3 linked regions of the Pelodiscus sinensis genome follow. The protein of the gene in region 1 interacts with the protein of each later gene in a pairwise test. Links are inferred from orthologs where the notes say so. Each region holds a gene or a part of one and is shown in the gene's direction. Other genes may lie near its edges. The genes, in order: WASL, ARPC3 and RHOJ.

Region 1 (8,047 bases):
AGCAAAATATGCATACCACAATCTATCCAATTTTTATTTGAAAGAAAAAGAAAGAAAGAGTCTGTAGGATAAAGAATAAAGTGATTATATCTGAATGGAATAATAACATTGTAGATGCTTCAGAGTTGCTACTGCAACAAACTGGCATTTCTTCAGTATCCAGAGAGTAAATGAGTCAATCTCCTTACAGTAAACTAACTATATACACATCTATTCCTTATTGATTCAATAGAAATTTAAACAACTATTTCTGTCAGACAAATTCTTTCTTGGGGGAAAAAGGATACTGTTTTCTTAAAAAGAGAAGTGCTTGTTGTCACAGCTCAAACCCTACCGTCAACCACAACTGGAGTTTTTTCTTGGTTACCACAATTGGTTATTGTGGAAATGGAGTAACACACTCCACAAGGACAATGAGGGAAAGATGGTATCCTTTACACACTCCCATTTTCTTATTATCTTGTTGATGTTCTCTTTTTTGATCTGGCTACAATCATCATACACTTTCACTTCTAGTCTCACCCAATCTTATTTATATGGTAGCAACTGTGATGTTCTTTCTCTTGATATGCTGTGTCACTTAGACTACATCTACACTGCACAGCTATTTTGGGATACTTGAGGTATTCTGAAATAGCTACCCCACATCTACACAAGCCTCCCATTATTTCAAAATATTTTTCTAAATAACAGACATACTATTTCACCATCCTGGTAACTCTTGTTGCACGAGGGATGTGGAATAGCTGAAAATAGCATGTTATTTAGAAATTTGGCACTCTGTAGACACACCAAATTTCAAAATAAGCCATTTCAAAATAGAATTGAAATAAGATATGCAATTTGCGTAGCGCAAATTGAGTATCTTACTTCGAGATTAGGGTGCTGTGTAGATGCACCTTAAGACTTTATCTTTTCTGAGATCTGAAAATGTGAGATCTGAACCACAATACTTTTATATTAAGATCTGCATTGGACTTTGGTTTCATTTGTACTTGTGGCCAAATGATTTTTCTCTTGGCCTGATGGAAAAAATAGAACGTTACTCTGCCACATGCAGCAATCACCTTGCATTCTTTCTTTAAAAAAATGGCACTGTTCTTTAGGACTTTCACACACTTTGATAACATACACTTTATCATTAGATATCAGAGGGGTAGCCGTGTTAGTCTGGATCTGCAAAAGCGACAAGGAGTCCTGTAGCACACCTTATAGACTAACAGATGTATTGGAGCATAAGCTTTCATGGGCAAAGACCCACTTTGTCAGATGCATGTGACATTCATCTGATGAAGTGGGTCTTTGCCCATGGATGTTTATGCTCCAATACATCTGTTAGTCTATAAGGTGCTACAGGACTCCTTGTTGTTTTATCATTAAAGTGAAAACATTAAGTGAAGGGAAATTTGGTTGAATAAAAAAAAAATCCTAAATGAGTTTCCAAAGCAAGGTAATGGAAGTCACTTGGCCATTAAAGACAGACTTGACAAAGCATTTTAAATATTTTATAAGAAGAGCCCTGTCAAATTCCTGGTCTATTTTAATAAATGTCATGGATTTAACATTTTAAAAATCTTTTAATTTCACAATTTCAGATATTTAAATCTTAAATTGCTGTAAGAAACATGTATATCTTTAAAATGGCAAAATATAACATGTAAAGTCCTTAAGACTCGGCGTTTCTCATATTGGAGGTCCATTTCCAAAAGGGTACTGCAAAGCTATTGTAGGCAGGTCATTGTATAGCCGCCCTTAGTTCTGCGCCACCTTCAGAGCTGGTTGACCAGAGAGCAGTGTCCCAGCTCTGAAAGTAGTGCTTCCATCAACACAGAAGGGGGGCAATTGTGTGCCCTCCTAGAAATAGCCTTTCAACCCCCTTTTGGATCAGGACCCCCAGTTTTGAGAACAGCTGGGCATTTTTATATACTTTTACCCCATACTATATGGGCTCGTCTACATTGGCCCCTTTTCCGGAAGGGGCATGGTAATTTTTGAAATCGCAATAGGGAAATGCGCGGGGGATTTAAATATCCCCCGCGGCATTTAAATAAAAATGTCCGCCTCTTTTTTCCGGCTTTTAGAAAAGCCGGAAAAGAGCGTCTACACTGGCCCCGATCCTCCGGAAAAAGCGCCCTTTTCCGGAGGATCTTATTCCTACTTCAAAGTACTTCAAAGTAGGAATAAGATCCTCCGGAAAAGGGCGCTTTTTCCGGAGGATCGGGGCCAGTGTAGACGCTCTTTTCCGGCTTTTCTAAAAGCCGGAAAAAAGAGGCGGACATTTTTATTTAAATGCCGCGGGGGATATTTAAATCCCCTGCGCATTTCCCTATTGCGATTTCAAAAATTACCATGCCCCTTCCGGAAAAGGGGCCAATGTAGACGTAGCCATATATGGGAAAAGTACATACAATACCAGATTTCACAGAGAAAACCAGTTTTCATGGTCCATGATGTATTTTTCATTGTGTACATTTGGTAGGGCTCCATCTATGAGACAATGCATTGCAGTGGACTAATATTAAACAGGCTTTTCCATCTCTATTCTCTATGTATGTTTTCTTTAATTTTATTTATTATTTCAAGTAAAATACACCTTTAATGCACAACCAATTACAAGTCATCAAAGATTTTGTGGGGATTAATAATCAGATTCATAGAATCATTGAAATGTAAGGCTGGAACAGATTGTGAGAAGTCATCGAGTGCAGTTCCCTTCATTAAGACAGGGCTGTAGGCGTAAACTGAGGCAGTCCATGGTATTTTGCTAAGAACCCCTATCCAATCCCAAATTTGAGACAAGACTGGGAACACACAGCACAAGCAGTTAACATAACCTTGGTCGCCCTGGCAACCACATTCCAAGAGGGCCTCACTCAGATTAGAGGCTGGCTGGTACCAAAACAACTTTTGTGGAAACTGTTCTCACTGTCTTCCTTTAACCCTAGATAATAAGCCTGAAACCCAAGGACTACGCCAATGCAAGGCAGTATCACCCCGCAGTAGACACATCATCATTTCAGCAGACAAAATTACCAATAACGTCTGTTTTGTTTATGTTGGCTTCTTTAGCTTGTTAGGAATAACTACTTGCATTATTGATAAGATGTTTAATTGGCGATGGGTGGAGCCTGCTGTGTAATCTTTGTAGTTGATTGGCTTACGTGCTCATTCCGTCTTGCTCCCAGACCCTATCAAATTGCTTCTCCTCCGTCCATCTGCCGCCTATATAATCTATTGTAATGTTTTGTTTAACCAGTGTTCACCAGCCTAAAAGCTGAGGGACACTCCACCAACTATGTGTAATAAATCCTCTACTTGTTTTTACCTGCATGCAGAGTTGTCCAGAATTATTCCCTACAAGGCCCAAGTAAACCTAGATCATCCCTGAAAGGTGTTTGTCCAGTTTTTTCTCAAAAACCTCCAATGATGTGGATGCTTCTTAGAAGACTAATCCAGAAGGCTGCACAAAGGGTGGAGTACTTGGCCTAAATGCCACATCCATAGAGAAACCATAGGCTTTCAGATGCTAGTTAGTCTTTGAAGGATCAGAACCTAAGTTGTTTTCCCTTCTTTAAATAAATTGCTCTCTCACAATCAAGGCCTAGGTCAATATTCCCTTTAAAATGCTGAAAGAATTCTAGCCAAGGGCTCTCACTGACACCTGTTTTCACCTCAACCCTGACGGAGGCTTCACTGTTTCCCTTTTGCAGTCACGGGCTCTAAGAATTGCTCTGAAGAAGCACTATTGCTGTCTAATGCCTACATTTTACCACCGCTGCTACAGGGAGAGATGACCAAAGTCCAACTTATAAAATTAGATTTTGTGTATCTGTTCCTGCTCTCCAGAGGCATGTGATTTATTATGAAGTTGTAATAGCCTCAGCGCACTAAGGCTACATCTAGACAGTGGCATTATTTCAGGATACCGGAAGTATCTCCAAATAGCTATTCCATGTATTTAAACACACCTGTTATTTCTAAATAAATTTTGAAATAACAGGTGAGCTATTCTGGCATCCCTGTAACCCTCGTTCCATGAGAGCTAAGGCATGTTGCGGAACAGTGCTTTACTTAGAAATTAGATTGAAATAAAATACACAATTTGTGTAACACTGCAGTTCCCCCCATTAGGGTTGTATACATTCCCCATGAAAAAGCCGTTTTACCCACACTGCAACTTTGGTTTGGAAAATTAAATTAGCTGGAAATTTTGCCAGCCCAGATATACTCCAAAAGAGATTTTTTTCCTACAATGAAAAAAATAGGATTTTTAAGTTAATTACAAAATTACCCTGAATTCAGTTTTACTTCTAATTGTTCCTTTTCTCCCTTTCAGAGAAAACCAATACCCCTTCAAATACTCCATAAAATAAAAACTCATTGAAAAGTCGTACATCAATTACAGTGAAAATTGGCTATAACTAAGAAAATGTATCAATGATTTTTTTTTTTAGTGGATAGCTCTTGACCCAATCATGTTCCAGTTAATTTGAATGGGTCTTACAGATCAATTTTTCCCCCTTGATCTTGTAAGTTGGGTTTTGTTGTTTTGTGTGCCATTCACATCACTGGGAACAGGATCAGACACGGGGATGCTGCACATCCCCAACGCTCGCTGATTTGAGAGGGAGCTGCTAAATCAGGTCCCTAACCTGTGTGTGAATGTCGCTTGTGACAGTCACATTGCTGATTAATGCTCGTCAATCGCTGAGAGCTCGTACAGAGCTCCATTAGCAGCTCAGGCCCTAAGCCATTTGCAACCTAGGCTCCACATCCTCACACAAGGCAAGTCCCCTACGCAGGCTCTTCCCCCAACCCCTGCTGCCTCTACTCCCCAAGCCACTCACAACTCAGGGCTCCCCCTCCCAGCCGACATCTGTGCCCGCACCCAGGCATTAGCAGACCCCAGGGCTCCCCTTTCCCCAGCGGGGCACATTTGCAGCCCTGCAAGCTCCTTGCCCCCCGCGGCAGGAGCCCAGCAGCACCCGGGCGCTCCCGCCCGGCGAACTGGGAGAACAGGTCGGACCAAGCGGGGCAGGTATTTAAGGGAAAGGCGAGGGCGACGCTGCTCACTAGCGGCACCAGCTCCCAGTCAGCCAAGCGCGGCCCAGCACAGGGGCAGCAGGCGGGGCCCTGCTCCGGAGCGCGGGGAGGGTCCCCTCAGCGTGTGGCGGCAGCAGCGGCGGCGCAAGTCCCGGCCTCCCCTCTGGCTCCGGTGCCGTGTGGTCTCGCCCGCCCCCGCTGCCATGTTGGATTGTGCGGCCGTGGGAGCCGGGGAGAAGTTGGAAGTTTAGTGCTGGTCCGAGGGGTGGGGGCGATCGGCCGGCGGGCAGCGGGAGCCGGTGCCACCTCGCCCAGTCCCTGGGCTGCCGGGCGCCGCCAGCTGCCCCCAGACGAGAGGAGGAGGCCCCGCTATGCAGCCGCTGTGAGGCCGCTGGGCCAGGGGAGGCGGACGGCGAGTTGCGGGAGGCGAGGGCGCCCCGGGAGCCGGCCCCGGCCATGAGCAGCAACCAGCAGCCGCCCCCGCGGAGGGTCAGCAACGTGGGCTCGCTGCTCCTCACGCCGCAGGAGAACGAGAGCCTCTTCGGCTTCCTGGGCAAGAAATGCGTGGTGAGCCCCGGGCGGAGCGCGGCGGGAGCGGCCCGGGCAGCGGCCGCGGCCCCGGGGAGGAGCCCGGCGCAGCGCGGGGGGCCTAGGGCTGGGGAGGCCCGCTCCGGTGGGTTCCCTGTGCTGGGCGGGGGGCAGTTCCCTTCTCAGGTCTTTCCCTGGGGGCGCTGGCAGCTGCGGTGCCCCCCGTGGCCCAGGGAGCTGCCCCGCGGGGGCGCCGGGACAGCTCGCTCCCTGGGCGGCTGGGAGTTTCGCAGGGGGAAGGGGCGTGAGCAATGAATGAAGCTCGGGAGAGGGCAGCCGCCGCCCCTGCGCTCCCCGCCTCCGTCCTAGCGCTCTTGCGCTGCGGAGGTGCTGAGCGCAGGTGACTGGGGGCCCCTTGCCTCGCCCGGGGCTCCTGAAGCAGGAAATGCCGCTGCTGCTTCCCCGAGCGCAGCACGGTGGGCTCGCTTCCCCCGAAATTCTCCGCTAGGCCTCGCCCTCTCCCCCCCGTTGGCTCCTGGGATGCTGCCATGCGCAATGGAGCCAGTGTCTACGCCTGCTGGTTCTGGAGGGCTCGGGAGTTGGGCCTGATTGAAGGACTTCAGCTGCGGAGGAACTGGGAATGTTGTTAGAGGGCAGGGGTACTAATTACACTGCTCTCTATTGGCCTGGATGGGGCAAGTCGGCCCAGACCTGCTCTGTCAGCTAGCCCCTGGCTGATCTCGGAATGCTGTTGTTATCTCTGTTCCTCCTCCCTTCTCCCTGTACCTGCTGCTGAGCACTTCTGTAGGTATGTGTGACCAGGGCTTGTCCAGTATGCAGTGCAGGTAAACTATGACTTACTATGGGAAGTAGTCAACTATAGCGCGATTGCAGCATCCGGTAGAAAAGTTTAATCCGTTCACAAGGTTGAACAAATCTGGGCAGATTGCACCTGCAGTAAATCAGTAGAATTCACAAAGCTGCAGGAAAACGGTTAGGAGAGCTGGGTCTGACTTGTTTTTAGGTTGTTATAGCCATGTGAGTTTGTTATCCTTAACAGTGGATTGAAACTTGCAGATGTACTGATTCCCTTGCTGCATTCATCCTTGCAGGAAAACAAATATAATGCAATGATTTTAAAAGGCTTTCATAGACCTGGTCCTAGTACCTTAGTTTTAGGATTCCTAAATGACCTCTTGTATTTTAAAGGTAAAGGGTAAGTTGCTTTGGGACAGCAAAAATGGAAAGAAATTCATATGTTTGCCAAAGCGTAATCAGGGTTATGGAATACTCCCCATAATTTCTGAAGTTCTTTTTTTAAAGAATCAGCCCATGTTAATATGATATAAACTACATTGTGTCTAGGATACAATATCGGTACATTGACTAGATGCTATTCTTTGTATGTCATGTGCCTACAACATCAGTAATAGGTACATAATAATTTTATTGTATATATGTTTGTATTGTGCAAGATATCCTGTTTGCAAGATATCCTGTTTAAAAGTAAGTGTTGAATTACAAGTTTCAGCAGAAGTCACAATGGTCACACATTTTAAATGAGGTTTGATCAAACTGAATAATTTCTAAATTGTAATAGAAGTATGGGAAATTCTTAGATTGAACAGGAAGTACAGTATGCAATATTTTCATGAACTCCGACCACATATAATTATCTTACTGTGATTTGGTTACTTTAAGATAATTTTATCACCTCATTCTGGGTGTTAGGGGGCTCAAACTAATCTATAGTCATAAAGCCTGAACTGGTAGAGAAAAGACAACATTTTTACGGTAAATTTAGAGCCAGCTTCACTCAACTACTTGAGCTACTGATTGACTCGCGCTATAGTAAATTATGCCTATGCATGTTTCAGAGGTCTAGAAATAAGATATGATAATGCTAGTGAATTCATATATGATTAATTCGATTACAGAAGAAAACTTAAGTGCTTATCTTAAAATATGAATTGCTCTTTAAAAACACAATAAATCAGATACTTCTTGGGAGAATTTTTGGTTTGCAAGCCATTCTACTGCCCAACTAACAATTGTTACAGGATTTGGTAATGTAATCATTAATATTTTGCTCTCCTATAATGCTTTCTCTGAGGCGCTCAGAATTCATTATAAACACTGATGAATTAAGCCAACCCCAGTGATAAATGCTACTATTCGCATTTTATAGACAAGGAAACAAACACATAGTTATTTGGTTGTCTCAGGATGTCATTACAGATGGCTGGTCTTCTGGGTTGCCCTTGTAAACCATGGTGGCCAAACAATGGATTTATCCTATCTTTTCTTAGACATGTGGTGTTCAACACACTAGCCAGTAGCCACATGTGGCTATTTGGCTGGTTGAGTGTGGCTATTTCACTATAGCAATAACCAAAATAGTGGCTACTGCTTCAGAACTGGTTGGACACCACTGTCTTAGATTCTATGCATATTTGTGGCCTATTCTGAATCTTGG
Region 2 (6,949 bases), on another chromosome or scaffold:
CCTCTTCGGACTAGAACTCTTCATGGTATGTTTTGAAGGGGCACTCTTAGATGTGATCAAAAGTGTCCTGATGTGAAGGTCACATGACTGCTCCAGAGTTATATACACCCTACACAGAATGGTAAGGATATCTAGGTGATAAAGTGCACCCTTCCCTTATCTGTACTCTGTCCACTAATCTATTTCACCAGGAACTATTTCTAGGATTCCAAAGAGCTGTCACTTCAAAATTAACAAAACAGAGTGTGAGGTTTAACTTTTCCTCCATCATTACACTGCTTTGCAAGAAGTACAACCCTTAATAGCAGAGAAGTCAGAGCTTGGAAATACTGGATTTTTAACCTATTACTGTTGGAACTAGGAAACTTTACAGTGGTAAATGTCATTTCTACCTGTGTGAGATTCATGATGAAATACTGGACCATGAAAATACAACAACATGATTTGAGGGTAATTTATTTTCCTTTTCTGTTACACACTGGACAACATGTGGCATATAAAGAATGACCAGAGATATGGTGTGGCATAAAGGTTTGACAGTTGTTTGAAATGACTTGTGAAACTGATTTGTGACTCTACAGTTTGTAAATATTGCAGCTAAACTCATGTTGATATATATTTCATGTCACTTCACTGTGTGGTTTAAATAAACATGCATTTCATCACTCAGAACAGTAGTGGTAAAATGCCTTACTCAAATATTTGACCCATTTGAATATAAATAAGGCAATAAATAAAATAAGACAAGCTAAAATACAATACAAGCTAAAATAAGACAAGCTAGTGAAAATTGACTGACATTTGTAAAAGGCATTTGATAAAGACTGAATGTAATACTAACACAGGGTGTTGCGCTATTGATAGTTTCACCCAAGGTTTTCATGTTTCCAAGAGAGCATTTTAAACACTCAGTTGAGGGAGGAAAAGTTGAATAAGTTTTGGTTTTCTTTAAAGTACATGTGCTCTCCCTCACATTTCTATATACTGACAATCAGTGACACATTACCAAAGAGCTCTCATTATATGTTGCTCCTTTTATTATTTTAATGTGCTAAGAATCAAATCAGTACTTTGAAGCAAAACTCTTGTGGACTTTGGTGGGAGTACTCATGGCATAAGAGTTGCAGGATTTCATTCAGTATAAGGATATGTGCTTTCAGGCAGCCTACTCCAGCTAAGATTCCATGAACAAGACAAAAATAAATAAAATCCTCTTGTGCTACTTGAAATAACTTTTCTGTGGATGAAAATTGTGAAACACAGTGATGCCTTCCTAAGAAAGAAAAACATTTCTGAATTAGATTAGAATTGCCAATAGTTATACAAGGTTGACTACACTATCTACTAATTTAACTAACTCCAGAGGAAATATTGTCCAAGCAAGTATTTGGCATCAAATAAGGCCACTATGTATCCTGTCTAATTTTTTTTGAGAGAGAGAATTCATATTTCATTGGTATTTGTATTAAACTTATATCATAAAAACTGTGGGTATTTTTGTATATATATAAAACCCTATATGCATCTAAAACCTTGAGTAACTTCATAAATAAGGGAGCAGTCCGTCTGATTTCTCATGAATAAAGATACGTGGTCGTATTTTTGGAGGATTTGGCCCCAAATGTCAATTACAAGTTACACATGCCAAGTCTATTTTTGGATCTAACTGATAAGCTTATGGAATATGTTAGCTTTTAATAGGAGAGTATTATTAAATTTTATTCTTTGTAGTGATGCATTTATTGACACTGTACATCATAATTATTCAAATAATGCTTAATAAATGGTCATTGGTACAGAAATAATTGTTTAATGATTTAATGTAGAATTGCATTTAGATCATGTCTTGTGACTGTCTTAATATCTACTTCTCGAGTTCTAAATGGTTCAAATTATGAGCTTTCTGTCTATTTCCTTAGGAGATAATTAGATCATCTAATTCAACATCATATTTATGTTCATAATATGGTTAAGCTTTTTCTGCTGATCACAGGTAAACACCTGACAAAGTTCTCATAAATTTTAATCTTAAAAATGATTGTTCACAGAAAACCCACAGAGACTTTTGATGAGGCATGAAGTAGATTTATTTTATTTTTTGAACAAATGCCTTACCTGTACAATGTTAAACTTGGAGCAACAAAACATTTTGGCCAAAGACTGTATTTTATATCTTTGAAAAGGCAAATTAAATTGTGTGTGTGGGGGGGGGGGGGGTCTTCTTGGAATGATAAAATAAAACAATACATTTTTCTGGTTGTTGAACTCCCCTCTGCTCTCAAGCAAGGAATCCATCTAAGTTGATATCAAATACAGGTAATGGTGGTGTGTATTTAAGGAATAAATTCTGTGTGTCTCAGGGAGAATGCATTCCTTTCAAATATTCTGAAGGGGTGATATTATTGCAGGGAGGGGGCGAAAGGCACTTGAAAGGAGGGGGGGAGGGAGATAGTAATTGGTAGCAGGATAAGAATCCCACAGAATGATCCAAATGGGAACAAATAAAGATAGGGAAACAAAAGGTTGCTAGAAAATTGAAATGTTTTCTATAAAAACTGGTCTTGAACAATACCCTGAAAATGTGCCGTTCCTGCATTGGTTTGAAGTGAGTACATCCTACAGAAAACACATTTATTCCTTTACTCAGTAAAGTAGGAAGTGCCATGGATGCATCTTTCCCCTGTAGGATTCTATTAGGAAAAAATGAAGCATTTGGGCAAGGCTATAGGCCTTGATCGAGCACTAAGATTCTCACAAGTGGGCTTTTGTGTCTGCAGTGGAGCCAGCTCTCAGGTTTTTATCATGGGTTTCATGATACTTGGTGTTTCTCTTAGAATCCCAGCTTCTGGAGTCAATTGATTATGCAAGAATCCCAACTTCCATTATTTTTAAATTTAAGTTTCTGTCCACCAGAACTGTGGAGAAAAGCTGAACCTTCTGGGCTCAAAACCCAGATTGACTAAAAAATCATGATAGTTGAAAAAAAATTTTTTTTTTGCCTATCTAATGATTTTGAGGGGAACTTCTTGTTTCTGTGTGGAGTGAATGCAGGCCTGGCGCCTACAGACCTTGCCTATACTTTGAATTCAGCAATCAGCACCCAGCAGCCAACTTAGATGCACAGTGCAAAGCACAGCGAGAGGCAGAGTGCTGTGCTTTGCACTGGTGCAGTTGCCAGCTTTGACTCTCTATGTTGTGGGCTCAGTTCATTTCCAGACTTGTAGGCCCCTGCTCTGGCAATAACAAATCCCTCTTGAGCAGCGCAAACAGAAATCAGGGATCTGCAGTAGGGTTGTAAAAGTGTAGTTGATTAACCCATTGACCTATAAGCAAAAGCTTATAGGTTAATGCTATAGACTAAACACATTCCATCCTCCTCCCTACTTGCCAGTAAGTATTTTAGCAGGCTGGTTGGCAGCCCAGCTCAGTTCTGGCTTGCACATGATCTGGGAGCTCAGACCACCCCCAGATGGGGGCTTCTGCCCACCCCATGCTACTGCCTCTTTATCAGAGGTGGCAGCGCACAGGTCAACAGCACAGGCCCTCAAGGGGAGCTGGGTTTTAAACTGGCTTCCCGCACAAACCGGCGCCCACCAGGCACCCCATGCTGCTGTGTCCGATACCCAGGCAGCATGCAGCGTGGCAGGGGCTATAGGATAGTCAAGTAACCCATAAGAATTCATGAGGTTACTGGGCTATTCAATGAACTGGTATTTAACATCCCTAATCTGCAGCCTTGTCATTTGTTACATCAGGGAGGACTTGGACCCACTGCATTTAGAAAGCAAGAACCGCGCCACATCCTCCCCCAGGAGCTGAGGCCGGGACCCTTGCGAGCGCTCTACCCGCAGAGGCTCCGCGGCCGCTGCCTTCCTAGCGCTCTGCCGCCCCCTGCTGGCCAGCTCCTGCCCTGCGCGCACAGGACTTCCTGCTTGCAGCCGCCTGGGGTGGGACAGGAAGGGCTGGCTCTCTGCAAGCTGCTGCATTGCTGACTCAGGCGGCTTCCTGCGCTCTCTGCCTCCTGGGAAACGACCGTCCCCACCGACAAAAAATGCCGGTAAGGAAAAGAGACCCTGCGGGTCTACAGGGCCCCGGCTCCTTGCGCGTGCTTGGGTTGCACCCCGCTGCCCTGCGAGCACTGTGGCTGCTGCTAGCCAGGGAAGGGCAGGAAATGCTACGGGGGATGGATGCTAGGCCCGGGGCTGAGCATTTGGGCCCCTTGGCTGCTGCTCGTTTTGCAATCCGCAGCCCATCAGGGGGGCTTCAAGGATCGGGTAGAAAACATCACAACGGCTCTGGGGTTTCTTTCTCTGTTCAGAAATAGGAAGAAGCTGAGCGAAACTAGCTGCTGCAGTGGGAAATGTCACCTCTACCAACAAAACGGGGGAACTTCCTTTTAAGGCAATAGTCAGCGCCTCTGCAAACCGCACGGCACTATTCATGATATTGTCCCCCACAAAGGATTTTGCTTCATATGCGCGGGTCGACGCGAAGTTAGCTGGTTGTTGATTTTACAATTAGACTAGATGGGCAGCTCTTTGTTGATTTAATTGGGGCTCTGGGCAGATGAAAGGGTGGGGCCTTTTCGTTGTAACTTCTCAGTTTATCTTGTGTGATTTTTTTTTTTTTTTTTTTACACAGCATTGGTAAGGTTGCAAAACACGGTTGTCCTTGCTTACTTAGCATCATAAAGAAATAGAGTGGAATTATATGATCACTGCCCCTTGCTCAAGGCCTGCTGAGCCCACCACCTAACTTAGGGAACAGCTGGGCCTTTCCAGTTTGACTAAACCCCTACAAAATTAAGAATATTCCCTTATTGGATAAACTAGGAGCATTATAGGTGAAAATTACTTTTATATGAAAATATTTAAAAAACCCAAAACAAAGAAACAGAAAAGTCCCATCAGCATTGGTGTTTTAAAGTAACTTATCTTATATTCTAAGTGCATGTATATTTTGAAATAAACCTCCTTTCTACAACATTGGCTCATATTGCAATTGTCAAGAAAAGATTTAAGCACCAAAGCAGAACGTGATTCTTAAGCTGTATCTACACTGACCTTTTTTTTTTAATTGCCATTGTTGAAGCACCGGAAAAGTAGATATGATAAAGGTTCTGAACATATTTGCCATCAAGTTATTTAGATCTGCTCTGAGTTAGACAACTGGTGATGGAAGCACACACTTCTACCTCTTCTATGTTATAGCATTCACCATTATTGCCTCCAGTTAGACTATGGCAGTTTCGTAGTAGGAGTCGTCCTCCCCCCACCTCCCCAAATGTTACTAAGGCCTAATTAGCTAGGTAAGCAAATACCACTGAACTTCCACAAGGTGTGGTTGCTGGATCATTGTTAACTGGACAAACCGTGCATCCATCATTTAGAGGGGGACATTTGTGTAATTTTATTCTTTCAAGGGAGAAAACTACTTATTTTCTTTTTATTGCTCACAGTCAGACTTCCTCTTTTGTTTATAGGCTTATCACTCCACTTTAATGGACTCCGATACCAAGTTAATTGGGAACATGGCTTTGTTACCCATTAGAAGTCAGTTCAAAGGACCAGCTCCAAGGGAAAGTAGGTTCACAACACTCTTTATAAGTACTATATCTGTATTTGCATTTATTTATTTTGCAGTCCATTTAAATCCAGTCCTAATTGCTTCTCTTTCATGAATATTTCATATCACTGATCTGGAAATGGTTATAGGACACTTTATATAAACTGTATCTACTTGAGGCTTTTGATTTTGTGTGTGTGTGTATGGTTTTCAAACTGAGGAGAAAAGGGACAGATTAGAAATGGGTACTTCCTGGTAATAGAGGAAGTTGACTTTCAGATGGCTATTAATGCTGTTGGATTGGGGGTTTCTTTTGCCTTCTGCTGTGCCATCTATCCGGAACATTTACCCTTCCCAATACAAGCCTCTGAATGCTTTTTCCTGAAGAAGAATCCTCTGATCTAATTTGTATAATGTGTCCTTCTCAACTGCTGTTTAAAATTTATGCCAGTGCCTTGAACCAACAGCTGACTCCAAACTCTACTCAGTCCTGTCTTGTGATAGTCACCCCCTTTCTATAGCTCTTGTACAAAATTATCTGTAGTGTTGTTGCTTCTGAATTGTTTTGTTTCTTTTCACTCTATCTTGGTTTCTCCTCCTTCTCCCTTTGGGAGTTGTTCTATCCACCTTAGAATAATAATCTGTATGTAACCCTTGCTTTTGTTAGTCATTTTATCATCTTGAGTCTTCGTATGTCACTTTTAATCCAAGACACTAGTCTTGTAATTGAATCCACATGGTTTCACATGGAGCCCCATTGATTTTAATTGGCTTTCCATGAAGTGCAAAGGTCTCCTTGTGCAGACCCAATGGTGGGATTGCAGCCTTAGCATGTAAACTCTGAATCATGTCTTGTTGGACACCATGGATCTAGTGGAATGGAGCCATTATTATTAATCCATGTTTATTACAGTAGTGACTAGGGACCAGTCAAAATTAGGGCTCCATAGTGCTAGACACAAATCCCAAATTCAGTCCCGAAGAGCTGGCAGTCTAAACAGACAGGACAGATGAAGGACAGTGGGAAGGGCTATAACATGCAAGCAGAATGAACAATGTGTGATCAGTCATTTGTCCTGATCTTGACTGGGGCTTCCGAGTGCTACCACAATAAATAATGTGCTATTTTTCCAGTGTGTCTTCAGTGATGAACACATTTGGTTTGTTTTCTCTTTGATGCCTCCAGAAGACCTTGTTCTAGTTTAAATTCCGTAATCTTTTGATTTGTGTGTGTGTGTGTTTTTTGTTTTTAATTCAGCCTAAATTCACTATTGTCAGGTTCAAAAGGGTAACTGTGATAAATCTGTATCTGCAAAAACAACGAGAATTCCTGTGACATGTTAAAGACTAACTGTTTTATTTGGGCATTAAGCTTTCATGGGTA
Region 3 (7,245 bases), on another chromosome or scaffold:
CCTCTGTTCCTCAGTGAGCCAATGCAGGTGCGCCACCAGGAACACAGCTACTTTGACTATAAACTGCTGGCTAGCTGCCTCAGGTGACAGCTTCCCTCCACCCCCACTAACTGCCTCCATTGGCTTGGCTCAGCTTCCCCACTTGAGGCTGTGGCCCTTTGCTAGCCCCTTGGAAAACCCAGTGATGGGCAAACTGGTGGATGAGGAGACTGCAGTCTCCACCCAAAATGCTCACCAAGCCTTTCTGGAGGTTCAGAGGAAGTGGGTTAACTTTTTCTTTAGGTCTTTTGAATTTTCACACTCTGCATCTCTTTAAGACTTTGGCTGGAAGTGGAGGTACAGCAATATTGAGGGAACTAAGCTGTCCTTCCAGTATTAGTGAATTACTGGCAAATTAGGAAGCACCTGGAATTTCATAGAAAAGAACTTGAAAAATTCAAACCTGATATCCAGATTAGAGAAGGTTAAGGTGTGTCTAGACTACAGGGTTTTTTTAAAAAAAAAAGTGGCCTTTTTTTTTTTTTTAAAAAAAACTTCACCTGAATCTAGACTGCTGCCACATTTTTTTTGAAATTAAATTGAAAGAAGAGTCAGTTTTTTCAACTGCAGAAAACCTCATTTTACGAGGAATAACGCCTTTTTTCAAAAGTGCTCTTTCAAAAAAAGGCATTATTGAACACAAACTGTGCTTTTTCAAAAGAGAGCATCCAGACTGCCTTGGTGCTGTCTTTCGAAAAAGCGGCTCTCTTTTGTGAAAGTACTGGTTGCTGTCTAGATGCTCTCTTTCGAAAGAGGCTTGTAATCTAGATGTACCCTTAGAGAATTGCAGGAAACCTATGGATTCAAACTTAAACTTCTCGCTCTTTCAAGCCATGCCCATCACTAACACCATCATATTTTCCAAACCAGAATGCTCACACAGCTCTGCTGTGCAGAGGTAGCCTCGGGAGCTTTCAAAGGCAGCAGAAGGCTTCAGTGTACCTACACCACTGACAATTCCAATCTGCCGATTAATAAATCGAAAGTTCTGAAGAAACACCCATTACCCAGCACTGAAGGCAAGAAAGACATTCAGCAACATGTGAGAGCAACCGCTCAACTGCTCACCCTCCCCTGCAGCAGAATTCTAAGAGACTCGTCAGAGGGGCAGCAACCTGTTATAGAAAACAACTCGTACGGCCACAAACTTTGCTCAAGTTGAGCAGTACCGGGCTATTAATCCATACTGCAAAGTAAGCGCCATCCCCACAGATGTAAAAGATTCATCCGCAGAGCAGTACAAGGGTTAATTATGGCTCTAGCTATGCAGCCAAAAGAAACGTACAATAACTGTTATTAAACTTGGTTGCAACTAAACCACATTTTCATCTGGCCTTTGTGAATGGGGGCCAACCCACGTTAAAGAAAACATATGCTTTTAGTCCAGGTACAGACCTTTATAGGGGTTTTTTGTGGGGCAAATCTGCTAAGCTAGTCTATTCACATTGTTTATGTTTGTAAAGAAAAATTACAGTGCTGAATTAAAGAGATTTATGGGCAAGATGTCAGCCTTGCTCACTTTAAAGCTAATCTCATAAATCATCGTGTTGGCCTCTTCAAGGAGAGTCATTAGCTGGTCTTTAAGATCATGGCCAAAAGTGAGTACTGCACTTTAATAGCTGCCGCCAAGGCAAAAGAGAGAGGGGTTTAGCTCCTTTTATTGGCAGGTCTAAATTAAAACAGATTCCTCCCAAATGTTTCCCAAACCACCAACAAAAGGCCAATTTTGAGGGTCCCTTTAAAGCAGGGCTACTCAACTTTGGAAGCCCCAGGGGCCACAATGATACTCACAGCACATGCCCAAGTCTGCAACTTAAGTGCGGTTGCATATATATGCAACTATATATGCAAATAGCTTATTTCACATCAATGGGCATGTATCAAAGATTAAGGCAAGACTGTACGACACGCAGGCCCCATTTAAGTCAGTTCTGCTGATATTCATAAAATGCAATATTTACCCGATGTCAGCACTTTTAATGAGCAATGACAGTCCAGGAATTTAACTACTAAAACACATATCAACAGAAGACCATTATATTGACTACTTTTTTGTTTTCGCTTCCACCCGCAGGCACATGTTGAGCTCCGTGTAAACCCAAATGGCACCATGGGCCACAAACAAGCGGGCCGCATGTTGATTAGCTCTGCTTTAAAGGAAGGAAAGAGGCAGCAGCAGGGGATGGGAATAGAGCTGCTTAAACCTTTCACTGAAATCACTAGGAAACTGGATAACTTTGCCCATGTAAAACGAGGAATCAGATACTGTGGGTCTTGTCCTGCCCATTCCCCACTCTCACAATTGCCAGGACACTGGGCAAGGAGAGGCAGGCTCAGGAGCCTCTCCAGAATCCCTGTTATTATGAGCACAGCTCGGTGGCAGATGGCCCAATGCTTTGTATTTAGTTCAGCCTCCCTACGAGGGAGCGAAAGGAGGAGCAGGGGTCACCATGGATCAAATGTTCTTCATAAGCAAAACCCAGAGGAGGGTTTAAAGGCAAACGGTGGAGACCCACTTGGCGCGCTGGCTAGCACAGATGGCAGGATCCGTGGGAATGAAGCGAGGGCTTGCTTCAGGGAAGACTCCCATTGACTTTTAGAGGCTTTGGATTGGGCCTTTAAGGAGTGGTGTCTCTGGGGGTCTCTGCTACACCTGCTTCATTACATCAGTGCGGTGTGACTTACAGTTATGTGGCCAAGATGACCCTGTTGATCTTTACTGCTTGGGGAGGGAAGGGTCTCTCTCTCTCTCTCTGAGCCCAACCCATCCAACACTATGGGACTGCAGACTGTTGTTTCTGGGCAGCTGGGAGCTAAGCAGTGCATCCGTCGCACCTTGCCATTTCTTATCTCATGGTAGATTTCTCTGTTTCCCCACTTGGAGGCTTTAGAATCTGAGTAAGGCAAAGGACGCAGCATGCACTGGAATGCCCAGGGAAGAGAACGGCTGATATGAGCAAGGGGCTGTTCGGGTGACTCTGCTGGAGATTGCAGGAATAAAGAGTAAGGTTCGACCCTAAGGGTGTGTCTAGACTACAGGGTTTTGTCGACAAAACTAAACCTGCATCTACACTACCACTGAGTTCTGTCGACATAACATTGACAGAACTCAGCAGTTTTGTCGACACTGGTAAATCTCATTTTACGAGGAATAACGCCTTTTGTCAACAGAGTTCTGTTGACAGAAGGCATTATTGCATCTAAACTGTCCTTTGCGTCTACACTGCCATGTCGACAAAGCAGCTTGCTTTGTCTACAGAACTGGATGTAGTCTAGACTCTTTGTCGACAGAAGCTTTGTTGACAGTATCTGTTGACAAAAGTTCTGTCAACAAAAGCCTGTAGTCTAGACGTACCCCAAGTGTGTACCCACGGTGAGATCTTTGGTACAGATTTACAGTAAAACTAAAAAGGAGGCTCAGAACTATATGAAATACTACAGCAGAACTGTGTGTCTCACAGGAACACAGATGGCTCGGGCTTTAGGGAATAAAAGCAATGCCTTTTAACTGGTTTTACACAGACTGTTCTGTAGCTTTGCCCTGTAGCCTTCACCTTTTAACAGCTGTCGTTCTGAATTCTCCATCGGCTCTCTTCTCTGCCGTGCTCACACATCTATACCTGAAAAAGTCTCATTTGTTTGTTGGGCAGGGGACAGGGAGGAGAATGTCTTCGTTCCTGGCTTGATAAGCCTGATTTATTACTGTACCCAAATTGTTAAAGAGGTACTTACAAAGGAGAGCATTTGGGTTCCATTCTACTCCCATCTACCAACACCCTCAAAAGAAAAAGCACATCCCAGGGTGCTACAGCAATGTGTGGCAGCCAAAACCCCTAAGATGGACAGTACTGCACATTTTACAGGCCGGTTCCCTTACAGAACGAACCCCTGACATTCCCTGCTTATTCATTTAAACCTGAATCCCTATTTTTCACAATGTTCCCCATTCAAATCCTCTACGTATCTATGAGCTAACACCAGCCTCATCTCAGCCAGCCCAGAGAACAGTGCTTTAGATGAAACAGGAAGCCTAACAACTTTAGCCTGCAGTGAGACCTCTAGTGTTTTTCTTACTCTATGTCCTGGCATAGTTCCTCTAAAGTACAAACGCACACAGAGCTCCTATTGTTTGCAGCCCTTCACAAGCCCACTGATCCTAATATGGAATTCAGCAGGAAACCCATGATTTCCTGACACACAGCAAGCTGAGGAAAGAAAGGAAAAACTCCATTAAAAACCTCCAGCTTTCCTCCATGTTAGAAATGAAATGGAAAATGGAGTGGATTTAGCAGGAATACCGGAATCCTCTGGCCAAACTGGAGAAGGGGAGAAGAGAATCAACGCCTCTGACTGCTGATATTTTTAAAGTTGCAATAAACAGAGGTCTCTCTGTCAGGATGAGTATTTCCTGACTCCAGCTCACAAGAAAGGACAATCCTTTTCTTGAATTTTTAATAGATGTATCATTTATTTACCTCAATGCTTCTCTTTACTGATACGGTAATTGTTAGAGGCAGCTGGAACAGCCTGGAGACAGTATGATTTCCTGAGGTGGAGAGCCTCCGAAACTCAGGAAGAGTGAATACAATTGCACTTCATTTTTCCTTCATGTGCACTTGGAAGTCCTGGGACCAGCAGCAGTGCCGCAAGAATGAACTGTAAGGAGGAAGATGACACCAGCACCGAATGCAGCAGCAATAACGTGAAGAAGATGTTAAAGTGCGTGGTGGTTGGGGATGGTGCAGTGGGGAAAACCTGTTTGCTGATGAGTTATGCTAATGATGCCTTCCCAGAGGAGTATGTGCCTACCGTATTTGACCATTATGCAGGTAAGGAAGTGGTTTTTACAAAGAAAACTTCAGAGGGAAAGGGAAGGGAGACGGAGGGCAAAGGAGATGTCAAGGGACTACTAGCCCGAGAACATGAGTCAGGTTTGGAAGGCAGCCAGGCAGAGTAGAGGGCAGCACATTCAAGGAGGGCACTGAAGGATTTGTTATTTGTTTCCCATTTTATTTTTTTGGCAAATATGCAGAATTAGAAACACAACTTTAAGTAACCTCCCCTGGCTTTAAAGGCAGTGGCTATAATTCAGTGTTTCTATAGTTATTTGCCAGGCTTGTTTTGAAGTTACGAGCTGAACTCTGCCCACTTCAGTCTGTCTGACTCTAACGTGCATTTTGTCAGTCATCTTTTTCCTTGTGTGGCAAGTGATTCAGAAGTTGCAATACTGAGATCCTCTCTATGAACTAATCTTTGAGAAAAGCAGTGACACCTCACCTAGTGCTGCCGGAATGAAGGTCACTTTGTTGTATTGGCATTTATGATTAATAGTAGTTAATATCAGAGTATTAGAGTAGTTAATAGTAGAGCAAAGCAGCACTGGTTTTAATGCTTAATGATGAATGCACTTGTCTTAATGAAAAAAAAAAAGAACAATCATTCACAGAACATAGCAAAGATCATAACTGATCTTGATTGTATCACAGGGCAAAATGAAAAACATATCTTAAGAAGATCACGGTTTAGGTACAGTATTCACAGGCCACTTCTGCTGTAGCAACTCCTTGCAACTTTTTTAGGTGCTTCAGAATTTACCATGTGTACTGTGCAACAGGCTGAAAACAGTCTTTAATGTTGCTTTAGTTTTCCTAATGCAAGAAATTGGTTGTCTTCATCATGTTACGCTACTGATCCTATTTTTTTATTTATAAGATCCCTAAAAAAACAGATTTTGTAAGTTATACAAAACTTATCACTGATCTTGCAGCAATTTTGTTTGCTTTTTGTTTTCTGTTTCTCCTAAACTGGATTTTCATGGCATGGCTTATCATAGATTTGGTATTCTGTAATGGGAAAATCTCAGCTTTCACCTTGGCTTCATGTCAGGTTTAGCAGAGAGACATGGCCAAAAAAGAAAACTGTAAATGCTGAGTTTGATATGAGGTAATGTGAAACCCTTATTTCTCCATAAATGTGTGTAGCTTTGTCTCTAGATGTTAACAACAATGTCTTTTCTCTACCATCTCACCCATTTGTTTTAAATTCCCATTTTAAAAAAACCTGTTTACACAAAACAGAAATAGGAGTAAAAATTTAATAAAGATAATGTGTGAAACAATATATATATTCCCATTTAAATGACAATTTTACAAATGTATTTGCAGGGACTGAAGACTTAGGTTTCTGAGATTGTCTCCAATTATTTTATTGAAATTTTGAAACGTTAAAAGCAAGTAGTATAAGGAAGAATGATTTTTAGGAGAAAGCCCAGAAAGCTAAAAAGATTGTTTTGAGTCTTTGGATATTATTGTACTATTGTGGGACAAACTCTGCCTGATTGGTGTGATTAAAAACTAGAGGTAGTCAGAAAACAAAATTTCTATTCCAGGGGAAATTCCAGCATTTTGAAATCTGTCTTTGTTCCAAATCAGCATGAAAAGCAAAATGTTGAAATGTTCCATGCAACAGTATTAAAAAAGGGGGGATGGAGGTTGATAGTTCAGCAGTTTGACACTATCAAAGAATTAAATATAATACAATACATTTGATACAATTTAACATTAAAATTCTAATATAACCTATACTTCAAAACAGAATCAAAACAATAATGTTTGAACAAAACATTTTGACATTATCCAACCACGAATGTTGAAATGATTCATTTAGACTTCCTGTCAAAAATGTCATCAAATTCAACACGTTCTCCCAAAATGTTTTGACCAGCTTTATTAATACCAGTGTTGTGTTAGCAGTGTTCCTCCCGTCTCACCGGGTCAGTGTCACAGCCTGACTGGGAACGTCAGATTATTTACTGATTTCCTTCTTTCTCTTGGAGTAAAAGAGCAGGAGAGTCAGGGGAACCTATTCTGATCTAAGAATCACTTTTGCACTGGGATCACTGTTATCTTCCAGGATACTGTTCTGCCTAGCTCAGAACTGGGAATTGCTTAATAACACAGTTGTCACTGAGCAAATGCTGTTAACCATCAAAAGCATCTGATCACAATTATGCTAACTTGCCCTATCTACTTTCTAGCCTTTGTTCATGTGGGCTGCAGATGTGGGAAAGGTATTCATATTATTGATGCAAATAGAGGCAGGCAACGTGTGTGTAGGAAAGGAATTCTGTCAAATTTCAAGGGGCTAAGTGCCAATTAGCATTATAAATAGTCTATATTTATACAGTGCCTTTTATACTACAGTACC

What was found.
Region 2: the proteins of WASL (region 1) and ARPC3 interact in binary tests that used the Homo sapiens proteins (3 or more experiments, as listed by UniProt). The two-hybrid records come from large-scale screens. The link is inferred for Pelodiscus sinensis from reciprocal best matches to the Homo sapiens genes WASL and ARPC3.
Region 3: the proteins of WASL (region 1) and RHOJ interact in binary tests that used the Homo sapiens proteins (3 or more experiments, as listed by UniProt). The two-hybrid records come from large-scale screens. The link is inferred for Pelodiscus sinensis from reciprocal best matches to the Homo sapiens genes WASL and RHOJ.

What each region holds. Positions count from the first base shown.
Region 1 is NC_134711.1:40,543,191-40,551,237, forward strand, and holds the start of WASL (actin nucleation-promoting factor WASL), read left to right. Parts: upstream 1-5,027; 5' UTR 5,028-5,499; coding exon 5,500-5,610; intron 5,611-6,123; exon of another isoform or gene 6,124-6,379; intron 6,380-8,047. UniProt on the Homo sapiens protein: Regulates actin polymerization by stimulating the actin-nucleating activity of the Arp2/3 complex. Involved in various processes, such as mitosis and cytokinesis, via its role in the regulation of actin polymerization.
Region 2 is NC_134725.1:32,222,071-32,229,019, forward strand, and holds the start of ARPC3 (actin-related protein 2/3 complex subunit 3), read left to right. Parts: upstream 1-3,921; 5' UTR 3,922-4,051; coding exon 4,052-4,057; intron 4,058-5,482; coding exon 5,483-5,582; intron 5,583-6,949. UniProt on the Homo sapiens protein: Component of the Arp2/3 complex, a multiprotein complex that mediates actin polymerization upon stimulation by nucleation-promoting factor (NPF).
Region 3 is NC_134714.1:14,816,807-14,824,051, forward strand, and holds the start of RHOJ (rho-related GTP-binding protein RhoJ), read left to right. Parts: upstream 1-4,137; 5' UTR 4,138-4,690; coding exon 4,691-4,868; intron 4,869-7,245.